Linked DNA regions of Arabidopsis thaliana. The protein of the gene in region 1 interacts with the protein of each later gene in a pairwise test. Each region holds a gene or a part of one and is shown in the gene's direction. Other genes may lie near its edges. The genes, in order: SEP1, SHP1, STK and AG.

Region 1 (3,860 bases):
TTCGGGAAAGTTGGGACGGAAGTTGCTCGTCGTGCTAAGGGTCTTGGTATGCGTGTCATTGCTCATGATCCCTATGCCCCAGCAGACCGTGCACACGCCATTGGTGTTGACTTAGTGAGCTTTGATGAAGCCCTTGCCACCGCGGATTTCATTTCTCTTCATATGCCTCTTACGCCAACAACATCGAAGATACTAAACGACGAAACCTTTGCCAAAATGAAGAAGGGAGTTCGAATTGTTAATGTTGCTCGTGGAGGTGTCATAGACGAAGATGCGTTAGTGAGAGCTCTGGATGCTGGTATTGTTGCGCAGGCTGCACTTGATGTTTTCACCAAAGAGCCTCCGGCTAAAGATAGCAAGCTCGTGCAGCACGAGAGGGTCACTGTGACACCTCATCTTGGAGCTAGTACCATGGAGGCTCAGGTGTGCAATTCATTTTACAGTTCAGGTGATAATTAATCATGAAATTTCTGTTTGGCTTCTGTTATATAGTTGGTGTTTTGGCTTTGACAGGAAGGAGTTGCCATCGAAATTGCTGAAGCTGTTGTTGGAGCTCTGAATGGAGAGCTTGCTGCTACTGCAGTCAATGCACCTATGGTTTCTGCTGAGGTGAGCACTCGCTTGTGCTAGTAAATACACACATATTGGTGTTGTTTCAAAGAGGCAAACTTATCAGCCTATTTACTGTAGCTAGCCTGGGAATGAATGTAGCAAATTATATTTGTTCCGAGTTGGTTAGAAAGAAGTTAGTGAGCGGCAAAATTGTTGAAGTGAGGGTGGGTTTTCTAGGGATTTGTTTTAAGAGCCTCATTAATCAAGTTTCTGTGATTTCTGAATTGGATTTTAGACTAGCAAGGTTTATAGCTTTGTTCTTATCAGATTCAAGTTGGAAGATTTCAATTGTTAAGACTATCCATGTTTGTTATTTGCTCAAGCTTACATGCATTCTATCTGCAGGTTCTGACCGAGCTGAAACCATATGTGGTGCTAGCCGAGAAACTAGGAAGACTGGCAGTGCAACTGGTGGCCGGAGGAAGCGGTGTGAAAAACGCGAAAATCACATACGCCTCAGCAAGAGCCACTGATGATCTTGACACCAGACTTCTCCGAGCCATGATCACCAAGGGAATCATCGAGCCAATCTCTGACGTATATGTCAATTTGGTCAACGCTGATTTCACAGCCAAGCAGAGAGGTCTCAGACTCTCAGAGGAACGTGTGCTTTTGGATGGTTCACCAGAGAGCCCATTGGAGACAATAACTGTTCAGCTAAGCAATGTGGAGTCCAAATTCGCCAGTTCCCTGTCTGAATCAGGAGAGGTTAAAGTGGAAGGAAAGGTTAAAGACGGAGTCCCGCATTTGACAAAGGTTGGATCTTTTGAGGTCGATGTAACTCTTGAAGGTAGTATCATACTGTGCAGGCAGGTGGATCAACCTGGTATGATCGGGACTGTCGGAAGCATCCTTGGAGAGTCTAATGTCAATGTTAACTTCATGAGCGTTGGGAGAATTGCACCGAGGAAGCAAGCGATTATGGCGATTGGAGTAGATGACATACCAAGCAAAGAGACACTGAAGAAGATTGGGGAAATTCCAGCGGTTGAGGAGTTCGTTTTCCTCAAGCTCTAGTTTGGTGTGTTGTTGATTCTTGAATCTTAAATCTCACCGGTGAAGATTTGATGTTGTTTGTTGGTTTAGGCAATAATGTTATTTTGGCTTTCATACAGTTTTGGTAACGTTGAGAGTAGTGTCTCTTTGATGTTTCAACTTTATGGTTTCTATTACTTGAGTGCTTCTTTCTTCTCTGAATATTTATTTCCTGAATATTAGTGACCACAAATTGGTTTATAACCCAATTGAACGAACCGATGTAACTATCGTAGAGAATCTGTTAATTAAGCCAATCCAATTTTTCAAAATTGGTTTGGTTTGGTTCAGATTAGGTTCGGTTTGCTCTAAGAGATGCAGTTGTTTGTGAAACGCCACCGTTTTGGAAAACTGTGTAGCTCGAAAAGATACGAACTTAATGAGTGGAGAGAAAACACGTGTCCTCAGCTTGAACAGATAATTCTGCGACTCTTGAGAAAGGAAGACGAAGGAAGGAGAATAGTAGAAGAAGAAGAAAGGGAGAGTCTTGTGATATCTACGTAGAAGGAAGATGGCCTTATCTCAAGTGTCTGCGTCTCTCGCCTTTTCTCTTCCCAGTACTCTTTCTTTCTCTCTTCGCTACCCTTCTTCTTCCTCTAGTTGTACAATTGTCTCTATAATGTATGTATCTGACTAGTTTCGGATTTCATGTTTCCAGATTCTGGTGCCCTAAAGCTAGCCACAATCACAAACCCAACTTCTACATGTCGGGTTCATGTTCCGCAACTTGCTGGAATCCGATCCACCTTCGCTTCTGGTTCTCCTCTCTGTACGTCTTCCTTGCCCCTGAGAAAATTCTTCAATTCTCTACATTTTGAAGTTTAGTTTGAAATTGGGCTCAAATTTTGATATTTCTGATTACTGAATTGTTCATATATAGTTTGGTTATCTGAAATATGGGGCAACAATATTTATCATAAAGTTTTCTAATTTTGCTTTCTGCATTGTCTTTGTTAGCTGAGTAAATCCATGGAAAAATTGAAACTTTGTTTCTTTCGTTTTTGTATGTTGTGTGTGTCCGTTTCAGTGCCATTGAAGTTGAGTATGACCCGTAGAGGAGGAAACAGAGCAGCATCAGTTTCCATAAGAAGTGAGCAAAGTACAGAAGGAAGCAGTGGTTTGGATATATGGCTTGGTCGTGGCGCCATGGTTGGTTTTGCAGTTGCCATTACTGTTGAGATTTCCACTGGAAAAGGACTTCTTGAGGTAATCAAACATCATAACTGATATTGTTGCTTATATAAAAGTTGAAAGTTTGAGAAATGTAAGAGAAGTAGAATAACTTAAGATTTGATTTGTCTTCTTATTTCAGAATTTTGGAGTAGCAAGTCCATTGCCTACGGTTGCTTTAGCTGTTACAGCATTGGTTGGTGTTCTAGCTGCGGTTTTCATCTTCCAATCTTCTTCTAAAAACTGATCGACAAGAATCTTGTTTTGTGATGCTGCCGAGGATCATTTTCTTGTATTAAGAATCTTGTATTATATATCACTGTAACTTCTACATCCATCAGTGGAGAATCTTACATTCTTAGTTTTTTTTGGCAACATACATGATCTATACATGTCTTTTGGCCAAATCTTATTTTTATATTTTTAATACATGATCTATAACATGTATTAAGTTTGAAAACATAACAAAATTTTTGTAACAAAAATAACCAAAATATTATTTGAAAAAGAAATATCCAAAGTTTTAATAGTAATAATACAAAAATAGAAGTTTGAAAACATTTTTTAATAAATAAAAAAGTGTTAAAAATTTATCACAACGCTAACAAACAAATTCACCTAACCGTTTACTTTTAGAATCAGAAATAAACAACAAAAATAAACTTTCAGAAAGTTGCAGTTTCACATATGTTACAAACATCATCAGATTCTTTGAAACAAAACAGTAACCAAGAAGTTTCTTATGCATAGCTTTGTTCAAAATCAATACTTTGGAGTTAGTCAATTAAATTCATATGCAAATCTCTGACCTTTTGCTTTTGTAAGCTAAATGCATTGAAAAAAGGGAGAGGCTCTGGATCAGTGTGCTCATGGTGGGCCGGCCCATCACTATGGGCTGTCTAAAACAAAAACAATTTTGGAAGGCAAAAGGTATAATAACCCCGTCCCTGTATGTTGGGCTAGGCCTGTCCAGTATCCACCACCACTAACTCAATTCCCCCATTATTACAAATTTACAATCTCTCCACCAATTGGCCAACAAT
Region 2 (5,782 bases), on another chromosome or scaffold:
GACTTGAAGAGGTTTTGACAATGCCAGAGATAATGCTTATTCCCTAATATGTTGCCAGCCAAGTGTCAAATTGGCTTTTTAAATATGGATTTCTGTATCAGTGGTCATATTTGTGGATCCAACGTATTCATCATCAAGTTCTCAAGTTTGCTTTCAGTGCAATTCTAATTCACACGTTTAACTTTAACATGCATGTCATTATTATTACTTCTTCACTAAGACACAATACGGCAAACCTTTCAGATTATATTATCTCCATAAATGAAATAATTAACCTCATAATCAAGATTCAATGTTTCTAAATATATATGGACAAAATTTACACGGAAGATTAGATACGTATATTAGTAGATTTAGTCTTTCGTTTGTGCGATAAGATTAACCACCTCATAGATAGTAATATCATTGTCAAATTCCTCTCGGTTTAGTCGCTAAATTGTATCTTTTTTAAGCCTAAAAGTAGTGTATTCGCATATGACTTCTCGTCCTAACTTTTTTTTTAATTAACAAAAAAATCGAAAAGAAAATAATCTGTTAAATATTTTTTAAGTACTCCATTAAGTTTAGTTTCTATTTAAAAAATGCTTGAAATTTGACAGTTATGTTCAACAATTTTGAATCATGAGCGATGTCTAGATACTCAGAATTTAATCAAGATGTCTTATCAAATTTGTTGTCACTCGAGGACCCACGCAAAAGAAAAGACTAATATGATTTTTATTTGGTCTGGATATTTTTGTAGAGGATGAAACTAAGAGAGTGAAAGATTCGAAATCCACAATGTTCAAGAGAGCTCAAAGCACAAAGAAAAATGAAGATGAAGGACTAAAGAACAATAAGCAACTACTTATACCCTATTTCCCATAAAGGATTCAGGTACTAGGAGAAGTTGAGGCAAGTTTCACATGCAAGTCCCTGTCATCATATATCCATATTATACCACACCTACGTCTCTATGTGTATTTCTTGGCATCGACTTTCTCATGAATGATTCAAATTTTCATTTATTTTTACAATTTAATTCACCTAAGATTATTATGCATTTCTCATCATTGGTACATTTTCTGTATAGCGTATTTACATATATGAAATAAATTAAATATGTCCTCACGTTGCAAGTAGTTAATGAATGTCCCCACGCAAAAAAAAAATCCCTCCAAATATGTCCACCTTTTCTTTTTAATTCCAAAATTACCATAAACTTTTGGTTTACAAAAGATTTCTAGAAATTGAGGAAGATATCCTAAATGATTCATGAATCCTTCAATAATCTGAAGTTTGCGATATTTTCCGATTTTCTTCAAGAGTTGCGATATTTGTAATTTGGTGACCTTAAAACTTTTTTTGATAAAGAGTAAAACGTTTTTTCTTAAAAGTAAAACTTGATTTTATGTTTTAGGGTTCTAGCTCAACTTTGTATTATATTTCTTGCAAAAAGAGTTCGTTAACTGCATTCTTCAACACTATAAAGTGATTATCAAAAACATCTTCATGAACATTAAGAAAAACAATATTTGGTTTCGGTTAGAGCTTGGTTTTGCTTGGCTTGATTCACATACCCATTCTAGACTTTGGCATAAATTTGATACGATAGAGAGCATCTAATGGTAATGCAGAAGGGTAAAAAAGGAAGAGAGAAAAGGTGAGAAAGATTACCAAAAATAAGGAGTTTCCAAAAGATGGTTCTGATGAGAAACAGAGCCCATCCCTCTCCTTTTCCCCTTCCCATGAAAGAAATCGGATGGTCCTCCTTCAATGTCCTCCACCTACTCTTCTCTTCTTTCTTTTTTTCTTTCTTATTATTAACCATTTAATTAATTTCCCCTTCAATTTCAGTTTCTAGTTCTGTAAAAAGAAAATACACATCTCACTTATAGATATCCATATCTATTTATATGCATGTATAGAGAATAAAAAAGTGTGAGTTTCTAGGTATGTTGAGTATGTGCTGTTTGGACAATTGTTAGATGATCTGTCCATTTTTTTCTTTTTTCTTCTGTGTATAAATATATTTGAGCACAAAGAAAAACTAATAACCTTCTGTTTTCAGCAAGTAGGGTCTTATAACCTTCAAAGAAATATTCCTTCAATTGAAAACCCATAAACCAAAATAGATATTACAAAAGGAAAGAGAGATATTTTCAAGAACAACATAATTAGAAAAGCAGAAGCAGCAGTTAAGTGGTACTGAGATAAATGATATAGTTTCTCTTCAAGAACAGTTTCTCATTACCCACCTTCTCCTTTTTGCTGATCTATCGTAATCTTGAGAACTCAGGTAAGGTTGTGAATATTATGCACCATTCATTAACCCTAAAAATAAGAGATTTAAAATAAATGTTTCTTCTTTCTCTGATTCTTGTGTAACCAATTCATGGGTTTGATATGTTTCTTGGTTATTGCTTATCAACAAAGAGATTTGATCATTATAAAGTAGATTAATAACTCTTAAACACACAAAGTTTCTTTATTTTTTAGTTACATCCCTAATTCTAGACCAGAACATGGATTTGATCTATTTCTTGGTTATGTATTCTTGATCAGGAAAAGGGATTTGATCATCAAGATTAGCCTTCTCTCTCTCTCTCTAGATATCTTTCTTGAATTTAGAAATCTTTATTTAATTATTTGGTGATGTCATATATAGGATCAATGGAGGAAGGTGGGAGTAGTCACGACGCAGAGAGTAGCAAGAAACTAGGGAGAGGGAAAATAGAGATAAAGAGGATAGAGAACACAACAAATCGTCAAGTTACTTTCTGCAAACGACGCAATGGTCTTCTCAAGAAAGCTTATGAACTCTCTGTCTTGTGTGATGCCGAAGTTGCCCTCGTCATCTTCTCCACTCGTGGCCGTCTCTATGAGTACGCCAACAACAGGTACGCTTCTCCTACTCTATTTCTTGATCTTGTTTTCTTAATTTTAACTAAACAAGATCCTAGTTCAAATGATAACAAAGTGGGGATTGAGAGCCAAGATTAGGGTTTGGTTAATTTAGAAAACCAGATTTCACTTGTTGATACATTTAATATCTCTCTAGCTAGATTTAGTACTCTCTCCTCTATATATGTGTGGGTGTGTGTGTAAGTGTGTATATGTATGCAAATGCAAGAAGAAGAAGAAAAAGTTATCTTGTCTTCTCAAATTCTGATCAGCTTTGACCTTAGTTTCACTCTTTTTTCTGCAAATCATTTGAACCTGATGCATGTCAGTTTCTACAATACACTTTTAATTTTGACGGCCCATCAAATTTCCTAGGGTTTACTTCAGTGAAAAAAATTGGGTTCTTGACACGATTTAGCATATATATATAAAAATAGGGGATGATCAAGACTTATGTAACCTCTGTCTGGTGAAACTAGGGACAAAGTCTACTGATGAGTTGTCACTAGGGATCCATTTGATCATTTAATCCCAACAAAAATGAAACAAAATTTTGAGAATTTATATGCTGAAGTTTTTCAACCCTCTTTTTTAAATAACTTTATATTATGTAGATTTGTATTTAGGGTAATTTGTCCAACTAGAAGTCCTAAAAATCAATAAACACACGGATGACTTTGTCTAACATTGTTATCAGTCATCAAATGTAAAATTGTACAAATAATGAAATTAAAGATTTAGTCTCTTTTATTTTTTTTGTTTAGGGTGTATATATATATATATATGTATATTTGTTGCATTGATATATCAATGAGAGGGAGAGAACTCAGAGAAGTGTCGGAAATTAAAATGGTACGAGCCAATTGGAATCTCTGGCATTCTGAGCTTCATTTATTTGTTATTAGAAAAAAAAAAAAAAAAAAGTCCTTTAAAGATACCTTCATGATGACATTGAATCATGTAATATACACGATACATGGTCTAATTCCTCCTCAAACCCTAATTACCAATTTCGAAACCATAATATTTACTAGTATGTTTATATATCCTTACTTTAAGACATTGTTTGTTTATAATACCTTGTGAATTAAGAAAAAAAAAAAAACTTGTGGATCTATTCAAGCCATGTGTTAGAATAAATTTATAAATTTTCTCCTCGTACTGGTCAGATATTGGTCCAAACTCCAAAGCCTTCCCTTTTCAGGAAAAAAAACATTTCGAAATTAACTCTAATTAATCAAGAATTTCCTACAATGTATACATCTAATGTTTTTTCCGCGATCTTACTTATTAGTGTGAGGGGTACAATTGAAAGGTACAAGAAAGCTTGTTCCGATGCCGTCAACCCTCCTTCCGTCACCGAAGCTAATACTCAGGTACCAATTTATATTGTTTGATTCTCTTTGTTTTATCTTCTTCTTTTCATTATATATATGATCAACAAAAAATATAACCTACAAAAAGAGAGAGTTCTTGGAAATGCATTGAAACGGTTTCGTTATGGTGTTTGAATACATGGATTTTTGAAGTACTATCAGCAAGAAGCCTCTAAGCTTCGGAGGCAGATTCGAGATATTCAGAATTCAAATAGGTAATTCATTAACTTTTCATGAACTCTTCGATTTGGTATTAGGTCACTTAATTTGGTGTCGGTCCAAAAGTCCGCTTGTAGTTTTCTTTAGAAGTTGTTTTGTTTAATGTTCATGTTTACAAATTGAAGGCATATTGTTGGGGAATCACTTGGTTCCTTGAACTTCAAGGAACTCAAAAACCTAGAAGGACGTCTTGAAAAAGGAATCAGCCGTGTCCGCTCCAAAAAGGTAAAATCTACGTTGCTCTCTCTCTGTGTCTCTGTCTCTCTCTCTATATATAGTCCCTTAGTTTATATAGTTCATCACCCTTTTGTGAGAATTTTGCAGAATGAGCTGTTAGTGGCAGAGATAGAGTATATGCAGAAGAGGGTAAGAACGTTTCTCCCATTCCAAGTAATTAGATCTTTCTTCGTCTTTGTGAGGGTTTGAGTTTTCCCATAAATCATGTGTAGGAAATGGAGTTGCAACACAATAACATGTACCTGCGAGCAAAGGTTAGCCACGTTCTGTTCCAAATCTTAATCTCAATATCTACTCTTTTCTTCATTGTATAACTAAGATAACGTGAATAACAAGAAAACTTTTGTTTTTGGGTTTAATAGATAGCCGAAGGCGCCAGATTGAATCCGGACCAGCAGGAATCGAGTGTGATACAAGGGACGACAGTTTACGAATCCGGTGTATCTTCTCATGACCAGTCGCAGCATTATAATCGGAACTATATTCCGGTGAACCTTCTTGAACCGAATCAGCAATTCTCCGGCCAAGACCAACCTCCTCTTCAACTTGTGTAACTCAAAACATGATAACTTGTTTCTTCTCCTCATAACGATTAAGAGAGAGACGAGAGAGTTCATTTTATATTTATAACGCGACTGTGTATTCATAGTTTAGGTTCTAATAATGATAATAACAAAACTGTTGTTTCTTTGCTTAATTACATCAACATTTAAATCCAAAGTTCTAAAACACGTCGAGATCCAAAGTTTGTCATACAAGATTAGACGCATACACGATCAGTTAATAGATTTTAAGTGCCTTTTAATATTTACATATAGTTGCAGCTTCGATTAGATCATGTCCACCAAACACTCACAATTAGAGACAAGCAAAACTATAAACATTGATCATAAAATCATTACAACATGTCCATAAATTAATTATGGATTACAAAAATAAAAACTTACAAAAGATCTATAATGTGATAAATTAATGTGTAGCTATAATTAAACAAAATTACATTTTTTACTATAGTTACTACTTGAGATAATGATCTCAAAAAGAAGCTTCATACGCTTAAAGTCTAA
Region 3 (7,101 bases), about 10 Mb from region 1:
ATTTAATAAAATATTTTTAAAACCATATTAAAAAAGTATTAATTATATTAAGCCATATACTATATCGTTGGATTGGGGATGGAATCTATCTACGCCCCTATAATATTATTCGCAAAAATAAACTATCTAAAGTAAGATTTCTGAATTTAATTAATGTTTAGGCTGTCGTGAAAGAGCCATTTGACTTCCTAAACAGCGTAGTCTAAACATTGATGTAACAATAATTTGGGTGACTTATATTTGGTAACTTAGTAATACATAAAAGGGTTTTTGGATTTTAGAGTTTCGTGTGATTGACGAAGGAAAATAAAAACAAAATTTTGCTTAAGAAAGAGTCAAAGAGAAGATGGAAACTAGCTAGGGCAAATAAATGAGGAGATGCACCAATAACGTCAACATCTACTCTCTCTGTCTCTCTCTTCTGCAATAATACAATTTGCGTGTCACTTTCGAGCCCTAAATTAAGCTCTGCAATTTCACCTTTCTCTTTAATTTTCCACCAAAGAAATCTTAAATTTTAATATTTGCTTCTCAATATATAAATTATATATCATTTCAAAATTTACATTATACATATATTAATCTCAATATGTAGGTGTATATATAACACATTTATCTGTCAACTTTTCATTTCGTTTTTGTTGGGTATGTTCTCACTTTCTTGAAAGAATGAAACATATGTACGTACATTTACGTGGAAGTTATGTATATGTATTAAAATGTTTAAGTTAAGTAAAAGGTTAGGTTGTATAAATGATAAATCACACATGTCTAAATTAAAAAAAAAAACACTAATAACCAACGAGTGGTGGTACAATTATATATTTTGAGTGGTGCATAATTTTCTTTTGGATTTATGATAGGGTTCGTCTATTTTACTATTAACTAACAGTCTCACATATTTTTACTATTAATTCATCGTTGGTCACTATCGACGCTTTAATTTGCAAATTTAAACTTCATGTATTATTTAGTTAATGATTAGGTCATGGATTCTTCCAATTACAAAAATTATGCCTCAAATATGTTCCTTACATATGGCTGAAAATGGTTGTAAAAAAAAGTTAACGAATGTTTTTTTTTTTTTACTTTTTCCTTATTTTGTTTCTTTTTACCATTTTGGAGAGGAGATTAATTATTATAATCATCAAAAAACTGAAAATAACGAGAAAGTATTACAAGACAATAATGTGGTAAAATGTTGACTGTCTCAAAATACAAAATGTCGCTTAAGAAAGGAGCTATATATTTTCTACTGCTCGCAATCTTAGAATTAATTTTTAAAAATAATTTCAAAATTTTAGTAATAATATTATATGTTATGAACTAATTAAACCTTAATGTACTGCCAATCATATTAAGAATGAAATAAATATTTCTTATTGTTCTTTGTCAAAAAAAAAACTATTTCTTATTGTTTTATATATTTTAGTGAAACTATATAAATGTTTTTTTTGAAGTTTTCTTTGTAACCGGGAAATTAAAAAAACCGTGATTGCAATTGCAAAATTTGAGATTATAAATTCATAATGATAAGCCTAATCACTGAAACACCATGGTTTTATTATTTCACTTTTTTTTACCATGCAATTAATTTTTTTACCTCATTATATATCCAGTAATGAAAGTTAGAACAATTAATATAATTGCATCTTCGGAGATCCCAAATCTTGGTCTTGCCGTGAACTTGGCCAAAGTATGAAATGATGGCGCATGTAGCTTAGCTAGAGTCTCCATTTCTCTACAAAAATAAGAATTAAACAACAAATACTCACACTTAAGAGTTTTGTAGGAATCTTAAATACTACTAATACTTTATATGTGCGATTTAGCTTAAAAGAAAGGTTAAAATAACTTTTTTTGGTTGCTCGTTATTTTTTCCTTTCATTCTTAAAATTTTTTCTATTCAAAATTAAGATTCAGGTTTTTTTTTATAATATAGCAAATGCATTGGCAAGTGGCAACCGCAACCGCAGCAATCGCAATCTCACTTTGGACATTGGAAGGTGAGCAAAGAAAGAAACGTCTACAAATAGACATATTGAGTGAGAAGCTTAGGGTTTTTGAAGAGAAAAGAATTTGGGTTTGTTTTTGGGATTCTCAAAAAACTCAAAATAAACTTTCCTCATTTTTTTTTTCTTTCTTTTGTTTTGTTTTCTTTATAAAGGAGAAAGAAAGAGAAAGAGAGTTTCCGAAAGCTGAATTGAGTTGGGTGAAGCAAATTCTCAGGTCTGTCTGTCATGTCTTTACTTCTTCTTCTCATAAAGGAAAACACTTCTTGATCTCATCAAGTTCCCATCTTTGTACACATCTCTTCATTCAAAAACTCTACATTTATATCTCTATATATGCAGATTCCAAGCTTGTAATAATTCTTGTCATCATGGGTTTTTTTCTTGCCTTGTCTCTCCAGAAAACTTAATTTTCACAATTATGAATTATTTTCCTTATTTTTGTTACTTTCTTCTGTTTGATGCTCTTTCCCCATGAAAGAAAGAAAGAGAAAGAAAGATCACAAGGGTTTTATTTGGTCACCAGATTAAGAATTAGGTTATCTTTTTTTTTTTTTTAGTTTCTCACATGTAGATCTCTGCTAGATTCTCTTTCCTTTCTTGTCAGCTAAAGTGGAGTTTTTGAGTCTGAAAATCTTCCAAATCTGTTGTATTTCTTCTTCCTCTCTTCTCGAAACTAAGCATGGTTTTGTCTCTCTCTTCTTTCTGTGTAATAATGTTTCTTGTGTTTCCCTTATGTACTATAACTTCAGTTTCATGTGCATCAGTGCCTTCTTCTTCTTCCTCTTCAATATCAATTTGATTTGTTTTCTCTCTCCATATTTCCAATTTTTTTTCTTTATCAAAAGTTATTTAATCTTTTGCTCTGTGAAAACAAACTAAAGAATGCGTAAGAATGCCTACATACATCAGATCAATGAATTTGTAAGACATATTACATATGTCTAAAGTATTTACATCTTCCAGATCTAAGATCATTACGTATATGTTGTTTTCCATTTTGACCCCGTGAAGCCTTATAGACATTTATTGAAGAGGGAGGGAGATAGTACACGGGATGGGTCAAAATTATTTGTATCTGGGTACCAAAAAACCATGTAATATATTGTCAGATTTTATCTCCCTGGCTTTAAAAAAACAATTCCTGATGAGTTAGTTAAGTATATAGATAATACATATAGAACCTATCTAGCTAACAAGAATTACATGTAATATATATTAATAATCTTGTAATTTGAATAAATTCTTAAACTCTAGTTCCAACAACATCAGATTCAGTTGATTCTTGTCTGTCCTTGAGATCAATCAACAACATCCTTAATTGAATTTCCCGAGAAAGTTGGATACAGAAAGAAAACTTTTTTTTTAATATATATAACAAAAGTCGAGTTTGGTATGTATTAATTAAGTACATTAATTCAAACCCTAGCTTTAGTTTTTTTTTTATCTTCTTGCAGTCTGCCACTAGTTTGTGTGTTAATATTTATCTTACCAATACTGCCGAAATTGAGCAATTCTAAGTGTTGTTTGATGTTTAAAATGAAGGATGGGAAGAGGAAAGATAGAAATAAAGAGGATAGAGAACTCAACAAATCGACAAGTGACGTTTTGCAAAAGAAGAAATGGACTTCTGAAGAAAGCCTATGAGCTTTCGGTCCTTTGCGATGCAGAAGTTGCGCTCATTGTTTTCTCCACTCGTGGCCGTCTCTATGAATACGCCAATAACAAGTAAGCCATTTCATTTCAACCATAAATATCCTAATAAAACATATAAGGTTTGAAAAATGTGCCAACTTTTGTTTGTGATCGTTTGAGAAATGAATTTAGTGCATCATTACTATAAGAGCTACCATTAGATACATTAGAGCTACAAAAAAGATTTATCTTTTGCAATATTTTCGTATAGGTGTCTTAGTTTATGAAGTAAAATGATGCAAAATAATAGAGATAAAATATAGAAGAGATTGATCTAGAGATGAGATTTTTTGGTCTATACTCTATAGGTTGAACCATTTAAAAAAAAAAAAAATCTACACTAAGCAACACCATATAACAAATAACAAATACATTTTTTTTTTTGAATTTAATGTTAAATTATATTCAAAGAAAAAATAAACGTTTATACATGTAAATGCAAACTTTTCCTAGCATAATTATAAATTCCTATATCCTCGATGTTATCTCGATGCGAACCACACTTGGAGTCCTCCCACATATGAAGTTCTTAACAAATAACATATACATGTACATATGAAGTTTCAATTTCATGAGTCTATATTTACTTTTAGCTATATTTACATATGCATACCCATGAATATTTCATATTTGACAAAAGTAAACATAAATATACACAAGTCCAAAAGTAGTACTATATATACATACTATTTTTTTGACATCATATATACATACTATTTTTCATATATTACCTATGTATCTTGTGAAAATCTTAAAAGCCAGGTTATCAAAAAAAGAAAATCTTAAAGAGATAGAGAAAGAGAAAAATCTAGTACAATGGGTTTAAGTACCAAAATCATGCAAGCTAACTTGCAGTTGCAGTTGGTCAACAAGTCTTTTTGATTATTTTTTTGCTTTTGTCAAAGTTTTTCTTGGAACTTAAAACAATTGTGCAGCGAGAGATGTCATGTAGTTTTGTTGTACTCTTCTTTCCTCTTTCATCTTAAGCAGATCAGTCTATTGCTTCATGTTTTCTCCTTTCTTTTTTTGGCTCTTTCATCTTATATCCATTTCCTTTAAAGTCACTCACTTCAAACGATATTATATATCCAAAACATTCAGTTTCTTTTTTTCCTTTTTTACATGACACATAGTATCAACTCCACTTTCTGTCCTTCAGTTACAACCCAATTTTTAAATAAAGTTGCATATTTGAATACAAAAAAAACTTATTATTGTTCCACATTATTCAGAGTTTATATACATTGTTTGTAATTTGTTAATGATACAGGCAACATATATGATGATCTTCTTAATTACTTTATTAGTTAAACTATTAAGATCCTTCTACAGATGCAAATATTTTAATATATACGTTTTTTTTGACAAAACATGAAACAAAATTCATGAGATCTTATATATTTTAAAACATTTTAGGGTGTAATTAGCTCAGACTAATTGGGGTCTAATTGTTTATCTGTGTTTACGTTTAGACAAATAAAAAATGGTGGCCATAATATACTTGATTTGTTCTTTAGACACTAATTTTTAATTAATTAGACTACCACATTGCTAATAAATTGCATAAGTACTCTATGTTTCTGACTTAATTGGATTGTTATTTGTGACAGCATAAGATCAACCATTGAGAGGTACAAGAAAGCTTGTTCTGATAGCACCAACACTAGCACTGTCCAAGAAATCAATGCCGCGGTTTCACTTTTTGTCTCCATCTCTTTACTTCACTAACATCACATACGTATGCATATATGTTCTTATAGTTTGATGATGCTTGAAATACAGTACTATCAACAAGAATCTGCTAAGCTGAGACAACAGATCCAAACGATTCAAAACTCCAACAGGTTTTATATATATCTGAACTATATTTTACCATCTTTTCCAGCCATATATATATGTAAATTTATTGATTGTAACACATTTTTAATAACGTTTTAGGAATCTGATGGGAGACTCTTTGAGTTCCTTAAGTGTCAAGGAACTAAAACAAGTTGAGAATCGCCTTGAGAAAGCTATCTCTAGGATCAGGTCCAAGAAGGTATACATCTAAAACATATTACAAGACTCATCAGTTTCATGAATCTATGTTTATACAATACATATTCTAAATCTGCTCTTGTGAAAAACAGCATGAGTTGCTTTTAGTTGAAATCGAAAACGCGCAGAAAAGGGTAAGCAAAGCTCAAGTTGGTTGCTCTAAATTTTAATTGTGTGAATCTTTGAATATGGTATAGTTAATTTTGCAGGAGATTGAGCTTGACAATGAGAACATCTATCTAAGAACTAAGGTAATATTAGTGTGTGTGAAGTCCATAGACATGTCGAATCAATCACTTGTTATACTAATTTTTATGTTTCTTAACAGGTAGCAGAAGTGGAGAGGTATCAACAACACCATCATCAAATGGTTAGTGGTTCAGAGATTAATGCAATTGAAGCTTTAGCCTCACGCAATTACTTTGCTCATAGCATTATGACTGCTGGTTCTGGATCTGGTAATGGAGGTTCTTACTCTGATCCCGACAAGAAAATTCTTCATCTCGGATAATCTCGTCTGCGAAAAACCGAGCTGCAATAACTCTCTGCATGCATCTGGGGATTCTTTGCTCAGATTTATCTCTACATAAAATATGTTTTGGTGCAAAATAATTCAAAGTACAATGAAGGTATTGGTCCTTCAAGACTCATTGCAATTTGTGTTGTGTAATGATTAAGACATACTCTAGTTTTTATTGCTTCGTATCATAGTATCTATTCTATGGTATCTTATTTAGTGATTCATATGACCATAAAACATAGCATTTACATATTACTTAACAACAGAGAACATAACATATGTTTTTGATGTATTATTAGCTCATAGTACAATGAAGTATTAGTATAATAATCCTTCAAGACTTTGGTTTATTGTTTCATATCATACATACATAGAACATTTTAAGATATGATCAAAGAACAGTACATTTCTTGTTGAGTTCGGTGCGTAACGAAGCAGTTTCTTTCTCAGCTTTGTTGAGTTGTTCTCTTAGCCTCCTGATCTCATCAGAAGATAGTTTCTGAATTTCATTCATCTTTTTCTCCGTTTCCTCTCTCTCGGCTTGTGCTTTAGCTAATTGCTCCTTCACATCCTCCAATGATTCCTTCAGCTGATTAGAGATCTAACCAAAGAAAACAACAACTTGTAATGATGACATTATTCATTTATATACACGTTACATATAAACCAATGAATGAATTTAATCACCTTCTCTTTTATCCCCTCAAGCATTTCGTTATGCGATTTCTCTAGTTCCTTTTTCATTTGAGATATCTCTTGTTTTGAAGACCAACCTTTCATTTCTTCAATCTGCTTCTGCTTTTCCTTTATAGTGGCCTCATTCTCCTAGAACCAAAG
Region 4 (7,575 bases), 6.0 Mb from region 1:
ACTCTCCCTCTTCTTTTGGCATAACCTTACTCCATTTATACATTGTGCTCCTCAATTATTCAACATTTTTTAAAAATAACTTATTTAACAAAATGTTAGAAAATATCTACCCAATTTTTTTCTTCCACATACGAGCTACAAAGATCTTTATCAAATAAAACAAGAAAGATTATTAATCCATATTTTGGGTTAAATTTTAATCCATTTAGCCAATTAGGAGAACTATTTTAACAGTTAGATACTTTTCAACAAAATTTATTAAGTAGTCACCTATGTATATTCATATAGTAGTTTCACAAACAATATGGAGAGCTGTGATCTTGAAGAGGGCGACAAAAGTCAAAAAGAAAATGTAAAAAAAGAGAGAGAGATTAAAGTAGTTGGAGAAGAGAGAAAAGTCTGGTTACCTTCTAATTGAGTCAGAAGCATTACACTTAAATAACTTTCCAAATTAAGCCCTACGTCTTGTCCAGCCCCTTAAAAGTACGCTTCATCTCCCTATTTCCCCTATAAACCCTAAAACCCTATTTATCTTATTAATTTATCATTTTTTTTATATGTCAATATCACAACAAGTAAACATCATCAACTTCAAATCTCACTAACATAAATAGTATGCTAATTTTCTTCACTATCTGAGTAATTTTCTCCTTCTTTTTACATCATTCGATTCTATATTTGCCACACCATTAAATAGATAAGTATATTGGTTCTTACTACTAATAATCAGTTTAGCCATATATCTAATTACACAGTTTTCTTTTATATGTTACTTTATATTTGTACACCATCAGTTACTATATACGGAATAAATTACACCTCATCATGTAATTACAATATTATCATAAATTTTTTGAAATTCTATTCTTTAATATTTTCAGTATCCAGAATCCATTTTCTTATATTTATTCTGGCAAAATAATGTAAAATGGTATCAAATATACAACACCATATATTTGTTTATAAATAACTTCCTTAATTAGTGAAACAAATTTTCCTGCAGAATGTCACTTAAATCTTTAAAACAATTCACAAAAGAAAAGGGAATAGAGCTGAAATTTTTTCCTCTTTAAAAAGATCAAGATTTAGTAAAAACTAGAAACAAAGAAGAAGATCGATATTTGTTGTAACAAAAAAATGTACTGATCAGATTTACCCAAAGATTTTAGTGCCTCAAAAACTTTCACATGAAAAGCAAAGACAAGTAATGGTAAGTAGAGTCTGCATCTCATGAGTGATTGCCCAACTTGAACCCTCTTTTCATTTAGACCTTTGTGAAAGACCACACAAGAACTACCCACCAATAACTCTCTCTTTTTTTCTTCATTTCCAAAAACTATTTATTCATTTCTACAATTTCTCAATTTGGGGGTGTCCTTAATAAGTATTATATTTATGAAAAGTCCGGATGTATGGTGGGTGTTATTTATGGTAATTAACACTATTTATTAATAATATTTTTCATGTGATTTCAAAAGCTGATGTACTCATGCTTTGTGAACCTTTAGATTGCTCTATGTCAATCTTTTATTTTAACCTATCATATGTCTAAATGTACTGAAAAGAAACACCAGTTTAATTAATTATACTTCCCTCATATATAACTATCAACCAAGTACAAAACTTTTGTCAATTCTCAAAATCAACTTTCACCACATAATTATCTAACATGTGTATGTTCCAAAACCAGTTTAAATAGAATTACTTTTCAGAAAATACATGTATATTAACTCTATCTAATAAAGAAGAAACACATACTTATCTCATAGATTCCATTCATAAAACTATGCTTTAGTGAGTAAGAAAACCAGTAATCAAACACAAATTGACAAGACACTATATGGATGTAAAAAGTGGGGAAAAATGGTGATAAATAGTAGAGAAAATTAAAAAGAAAAAAAATATTCCTTTATAAATGTATATACCCATCTCTTCACCAGCACAACCTTACCTTCCATTTTCTGCAACTTCTCCAAATCTCATACTTTCCAGAAAATCATTTTCCCAAGAAAAATAAAACTTTCCCCTTTGTTCTTCTCCCCCCAACAGGTCAGGCTAGTATTTTGTTGTTCCCCAATCCTTTCAAACATTATCTTCTTCATAATATTACTTTGCTTCACTTCTTTTGGTCCTTAAACCAAATTTTTGTTCTTCTTTAGTTTCCTTTTTTCCCGTTTTGATTTGATTCTTTTTATGTTATTTAGAGAGAAACAAGATTCACAAATTCTCTGATCTTCTTTAACTCTTTAAAACTTTTCTTTTTCACACTCTAGATTTAAATTATCCCTATGGTTACAAAACAATTTTGTTCTTAGTTTATAACTTGTGTATTACCATCCTTTCTTGATTAACTCTTGTTAGGAGAATATGAATGTAAGATCAATAAAGTTCTTCAACTTTATAATTCCTTCTATAAGATGTGTGTCGGCAACAGAATTAAATTAAATCTTTATAGTTTAACTTTAATCTCAACCATAATTCAAAAGAATAGAAAACATGAAGAATCTTGAGTCTTTTCAAGAAAATCTTGATTGGTTTTTTGTTGGATTCTTGTAATTCTGTACTAATCAAATTTTGCCCTAAACGTTTTTGGCTTTGGAGCAGCAATCACGGCGTACCAATCGGAGCTAGGAGGAGATTCCTCTCCCTTGAGGAAATCTGGGAGAGGAAAGATCGAAATCAAACGGATCGAGAACACAACGAATCGTCAAGTCACTTTTTGCAAACGTAGAAATGGTTTGCTCAAGAAAGCTTACGAGCTCTCTGTTCTTTGTGATGCTGAAGTCGCACTCATCGTCTTCTCTAGCCGTGGTCGTCTCTATGAGTACTCTAACAACAGGTTTCTTCTTCTTCTCGTGCTCTGTTCTTACTTTATTAATAATTAAATTATTTTTAAAGTCCGATTTAGGGTTTTATGTTTATGTTAAAGCATAAATCTTTTACGAGGGTTTTCGATCTTCTAAGCTAGATTTGATTCTCTTCTTCTTGAATGCTCTTATGGGTAGGATTATTTTTCACTTTTTTCCTTCATATTCCACACACATATATATATAAACACACTAACATTAGTGGGAATATTTGTTTGATATGTTTATTTTATTTACTTCGGGGGTTTTTGTAACAATTTTGTAGATCTAATTTCTTGTTCTTCATGTGTATATTAATTTTCCCTTAAGACTTAAATAAAAAGAGAGAATTTGTTATATATAGATATATGAAGTGAGGGAAATGGTACAAAGTTAAAGGAGATCTGAGTGAGAGTTAGATAATAAATGAAAAGAAATAAGAAACCATCAGGGTTTTTTCTAATGTGGAGTTTTAGATTCAGTTTTGTAGAACTAAGATTCACTTTGTTGGGTGTTCTTTCTTCACTCATTTCTGTTATTATAATAATAATAAAATCTTATATCTTTCTATTTTCCTTACTAACAAGTACTTGAAGATTTAGATATATTTATAGATCTGGTGTTGTAATAGGTAAAAACTTGATTTTTATGACTATAAAAGTAAGTTTTGGGAAACAAATTGGGGAGAGAGTAAGGAAGGACTATGAGGTCATATCTTCTGTTTTGTGATCATCCATCCTCCATTGTTGTTAATGTCTGTGTCTCTCTTTTTCTTCTCTTCTTTCTCTTACTTTCCTTTCTTATCTCTAGCTCTCTTTCTCTCTCATGAATTATATCATATCATATATTTGATACAAACACATGTGATGGTAAGTGAGAGTGAATAAGGTGAAACTAGCTAGATTTTTGAGTTTTCATGAAATTTTAACTTATATGAGTGATAGAAAATAATGGAACTTATACGTACATGTAGGACAATTTAGATGGTTATCTAAGTTTTTGTTTTTGTTTTCTCTTGAGAATGTTAAATGTTAGTGTTATTTTTGTAGTTTTGGAAAATTATATATGAGCTAAGATTAGTTTAGAAGTGGTCAAAAGAAACATAGATTTGAAATTTCAACTGAATTTTCAAGATTTCAAATAGTCAATGAAACAAGGAGGTAATTAAGACAAATTAGCTTATGGGGACTCTTTTTTGTTATTCCTTAAAATTACTCTTTTTAAAATTAAAAATAACTAATCTCATTTCGAACTACATTACTCAAACTAGTAATCTCTAATTCGACACGCAATTTCCAAATACTTATTAGTAGAGAGTCCCACGTGATTACTTTCTTCTCCACCAAAACATAAAACATGTCAAGATTAAATGGTGTTTGAAAATTAAAAGATCAATTTTCTTAATCGTTTACAGTTGTCAACTCTCATGTCCTGAAATATATAATTCTCATGTCCAAAACAAGAAAAGCTAACAACGACTTCAAATTAAATCAGTCAATCAAAATTAGTCTTCATTTACCTACTAATTTCTTTTTATATATCCGATGGGTACTCTACGAAATCAGAGTTTCGTTTCTTTATTTATTTTCTTTTATAAGATTTTTGAGGTTTTTTCAGAGGTTGGAATTGAGCGCAAGATTAGGTTTTGGGTCTGTAAGATTTGTTGTCTTTGTTAAAGAATCTTTGATCACGTCATCACTCAGATATTATTTCTTTTTATTTTTCACTTGTATTTTTACTAATTTATTATAAAGTTTTGTTAGTTTCAGTTCTTGACTTCTGACAAGAAGGTTTTATGTCATAATGAATTAATTTGTAACCTATTTATAAATTCAAAAATGTCATCATATTACTACTTTTGACCATTTAATATTAGATTTCTCATTTGGTCAATACCCAATGTTCATATTACATATATAGAGACAAAAATTATAAGGATACTAAATTGTTCATATTTCTTGGAAGTAAAAAGATTAATGATCACTGAATAAATAGATTTGGCATAGAAGTATAGCATTGGAATTGCTTCAACATCTTTGGTGTAGATAGATTTATGCAATTTCTCTTTCTTTTTGAAGTATCTTTTTTTTTTCTAGAGAGAGAATAATGTTAGGGATTTTTATCATTTTCTCTCTCATTATGGGTACTGAGAGGAAAGTGAGATTTTTAGTACGGATCCAATAGTTTAAGAGTTTGGTCTGCCTTCTACGATCCAAAAAAATCTACGGTCATGATCTCTCCATCGAGAAGGTTGAGAGTTCAGACATCAAAGTCTATAATATGTCATTGTAATACGTATTTGTGTATATATATCTATGTACAAGTACATATACAGGAAACTCAAGAAAAAAGAATAAATGGTAAATTTAATTATATTCCAAATAAGGAAAGTATGGAACGTTGTGATGTTACTCGGACAAGTCATTTAGTTACATCCATCACGTTTAAATTTAATCCAATGGTTACAATTTTAATACTATCAAATGTCTATTGGATTTATACCCAATGTGTTAATGGGTTGTTGACACATGTCACATGTCTGAAACCCTAGACATGTTCAGACCAATCATGTCACTCTAATTTTGCCAGCATGGCAGTTGGCAGCCAATCACTAGCTCGATAAATTTAAGGTTTCAGAGGAATTTTAATTTATTTAGGGTTCATATTGTTTCATAAAATGATTCTTTATTTGTTACAACTTTAAGGAAATATTTTATTAACTATTTAATTGTTCCCTTTTCTTATATTACTTTTGTTTTTTCTTCACATCATGTGTCACATTAAGTTGCATTTCTTCTGACTCAAAAGAACCGATGTTTGCTTTTAAGGTTTCGTATTAGAATCACTTAACTGTGCAAGTGGTCGATTTGACCCTATCAATTTTATTTTTTATTACTTATCAAAATGCAGATTTAAGCGTAGATTAAGTTTAGAAAATAGGTAGTTAATAGGTCTAATTAACTTATTAATTCCTTTAAAAAAATTATTGCAGTGTAAAAGGGACTATTGAGAGGTACAAGAAGGCAATATCGGACAATTCTAACACCGGATCGGTGGCAGAAATTAATGCACAGGTAAGTGGTAACTTAATATTACACGAATGATTTTAATTAATATATGATGACATGACAACATTGTTCATTCTTTTACTCTTTTTTTTTTTGTTGTTGTTGTAGTATTATCAACAAGAATCAGCCAAATTGCGTCAACAAATAATCAGCATACAAAACTCCAACAGGTTAATTATCTAACTGACTTGAAATATTTGATTACTTGGTTGTTATTAACTATTTGATATATTAACATATGTTGATAAATCAATTAGGCAATTGATGGGTGAGACGATAGGGTCAATGTCTCCCAAAGAGCTCAGGAACTTGGAAGGCAGATTAGAGAGAAGTATTACCCGAATCCGATCCAAGAAGGTAATTCTATTTTTTTTATAAATGCTTCAATATAATATCAAATTAAATCTATATGCCTTGTTGCTAATTTTTGTTTAATTTTACAGAATGAGCTCTTATTTTCTGAAATCGACTACATGCAGAAAAGAGTAAGAAATAAATCTTAACTTAATTTCTATTCTTAATATGTTCTTATAATAATTTTGCTCATTTGCATTGCACCGATTAAGCAGGAAGTTGATTTGCATAACGATAACCAGATTCTTCGTGCAAAGGTAAAAGTACACATTATATATCAATTTCTATAATTTTCCCTATTGTTTCAATAAATATTATATGAAAACGATTAAAATGGTGAAAGTACTTGTAGATAAATAGTTTATGACATATATTTGTGTAATGTAGATAGCTGAAAATGAGAGGAACAATCCGAGTATAAGTCTAATGCCAGGAGGATCTAACTACGAGCAGCTTATGCCACCACCTCAAACGCAATCTCAACCGTTTGATTCACGGAATTATTTCCAAGTCGCGGCATTGCAACCTAACAATCACCATTACTCATCCGCGGGTCGCCAAGACCAAACCGCTCTCCAGTTAGTGTAAGGACACAAAATCTTGCTCCGATCAATCATTCTAGTCTTATATTATTAATCGGTCCATTTTGTAAAACTTGACAGCATGGATTTGGTCTTTTATGCTGTTTTGTAGGTAATATAGGCTGAAGGAAATGGCCGGGAGTGAATAAAAACCAGAATTGGGTTGAGCAAGCAATATAAAGCTAATGCATGTTATATATATATTTATCCCATGAATGTTGTATCAGTGAATTTTATGCTTATGTTGATGTGAAATTAATATCTTAAAGACATGTCATTAATGTGCTTAATTTGCTTCAAAACATCTATGTGTATAAGTGTACTATTAGTTCAATTGTTGTATTTAATTACCAATTCCTGCTCTATTAATGATTTTATTATAGAAAAGTCTCAATATGATAATGATATATATTCATGTGCTGAGTTCCATCCTCCTCCTCCTTCTCCCCATGTGGTACAGTTGCAAAATGTCGAAACATTCGTTCATTTTGTAGCTGCCTACCAGGAATACATTCACCACCCGGTCTCAATATCTCGCGTCTTGCTCGGTGAAAACACATACAAGAGTATTAACCATATTTTCTTTAAATGCACATACAATAGCTTATCTCTGCCTAGCTTCATTTCGTAAACCAAGAGCAAACATTATCGGATGGCTCCATACCTGTTCTCAATAAATCATGGTCATAATCAAGCTCATTTTCCTAGCCTCCGGTTACTAGATTT

The links.
Region 2: the proteins of SEP1 (region 1) and SHP1 interact in a two-hybrid assay, tested with the Arabidopsis thaliana proteins (one study listed by BioGRID).
Region 3: the proteins of SEP1 (region 1) and STK interact in a two-hybrid assay, tested with the Arabidopsis thaliana proteins (one study listed by BioGRID).
Region 4: the proteins of SEP1 (region 1) and AG interact in a two-hybrid assay, tested with the Arabidopsis thaliana proteins (one study listed by BioGRID).

What each region holds. Positions count from the first base shown.
Region 1 is NC_003075.7:16,371,810-16,375,669, reverse strand, and holds SEP1 (stress enhanced protein 1), read left to right. Parts: upstream 1-1,933; 5' UTR 1,934-2,158; coding exon 2,159-2,204; intron 2,205-2,305; coding exon 2,306-2,416; intron 2,417-2,674; coding exon 2,675-2,853; intron 2,854-2,959; coding exon 2,960-3,064; 3' UTR 3,065-3,337; downstream 3,338-3,860. Other genes in the region: EDA9 (D-3-phosphoglycerate dehydrogenase), read left to right, coding at 1-423, 514-609, 958-1,629. UniProt on the Arabidopsis thaliana protein: May be involved in non-photochemical quenching, a process that maintains the balance between dissipation and utilization of light energy to minimize generation of oxidizing molecules, thereby protecting the plant against photo-oxidative damage.
Region 2 is NC_003074.8:21,736,498-21,742,279, forward strand, and holds SHP1 (K-box region and MADS-box transcription factor family protein), read left to right. Parts: upstream 1-1,662; 5' UTR 1,663-2,278; intron 2,279-2,385; exon of another isoform or gene 2,386-2,634; coding exon of another isoform or gene 2,635-2,652; coding exon 2,653-2,879; exon of another isoform or gene 2,880-3,419; intron 3,420-3,768; coding exon of another isoform or gene 3,769-3,806; intron 3,807-3,975; coding exon of another isoform or gene 3,976-4,012; intron 4,013-4,177; coding exon 4,178-4,259; intron 4,260-4,412; coding exon 4,413-4,474; intron 4,475-4,603; coding exon 4,604-4,844; intron 4,845-4,927; coding exon 4,928-4,969; intron 4,970-5,077; coding exon 5,078-5,269; downstream 5,270-5,782. UniProt on the Arabidopsis thaliana protein: Probable transcription factor. Interacts genetically with TT16/AGL32 in a partially antagonistic manner during flower development. Is essential for the coordination of cell divisions in ovule, seed coat development and endosperm formation.
Region 3 is NC_003075.7:6,235,867-6,242,967, reverse strand, and holds STK (K-box region and MADS-box transcription factor family protein), read left to right. Parts: upstream 1-1,686; 5' UTR 1,687-1,844; intron 1,845-1,942; 5' UTR 1,943-1,945; coding exon 1,946-2,229; exon of another isoform or gene 2,230-2,473; coding exon of another isoform or gene 2,474-2,550; exon of another isoform or gene 2,551-2,907; coding exon of another isoform or gene 2,908-2,936; exon of another isoform or gene 2,937-3,107; coding exon of another isoform or gene 3,108-3,109; intron 3,110-3,557; coding exon 3,558-3,740; intron 3,741-5,317; coding exon 5,318-5,399; intron 5,400-5,489; coding exon 5,490-5,551; intron 5,552-5,645; coding exon 5,646-5,745; intron 5,746-5,836; coding exon 5,837-5,878; intron 5,879-5,941; coding exon 5,942-5,995; intron 5,996-6,072; coding exon 6,073-6,255; 3' UTR 6,256-6,593; downstream 6,594-7,101. Other genes in the region: AT4G09950 (P-loop containing nucleoside triphosphate hydrolases superfamily protein), read right to left, coding at 6,656-6,865, 6,952-7,089. UniProt on the Arabidopsis thaliana protein: Probable transcription factor. Is required, together with TT16/AGL32 for the maternal control of endothelium formation, which is essential for female gametophyte development and fertilization, and seed formation.
Region 4 is NC_003075.7:10,381,308-10,388,882, forward strand, and holds AG (K-box region and MADS-box transcription factor family protein), read left to right. Parts: upstream 1-1,548; 5' UTR 1,549-2,373; intron 2,374-2,604; 5' UTR 2,605-2,609; coding exon of another isoform or gene 2,610-2,733; coding exon 2,734-2,839; intron 2,840-5,674; coding exon 5,675-5,764; intron 5,765-5,838; coding exon of another isoform or gene 5,839-5,846; coding exon 5,847-5,920; intron 5,921-6,022; coding exon 6,023-6,084; intron 6,085-6,171; coding exon 6,172-6,271; intron 6,272-6,357; coding exon 6,358-6,399; intron 6,400-6,483; coding exon 6,484-6,525; coding exon of another isoform or gene 6,526-6,558; exon of another isoform or gene 6,559-6,655; coding exon 6,656-6,852; intron 6,853-6,961; coding exon 6,962-6,965; 3' UTR 6,966-7,232; downstream 7,233-7,575. Other genes in the region: AT4G18970 (GDSL-like Lipase/Acylhydrolase superfamily protein), read right to left, coding at 7,568-7,575. UniProt on the Arabidopsis thaliana protein: Probable transcription factor involved in the control of organ identity during the early development of flowers. Is required for normal development of stamens and carpels in the wild-type flower.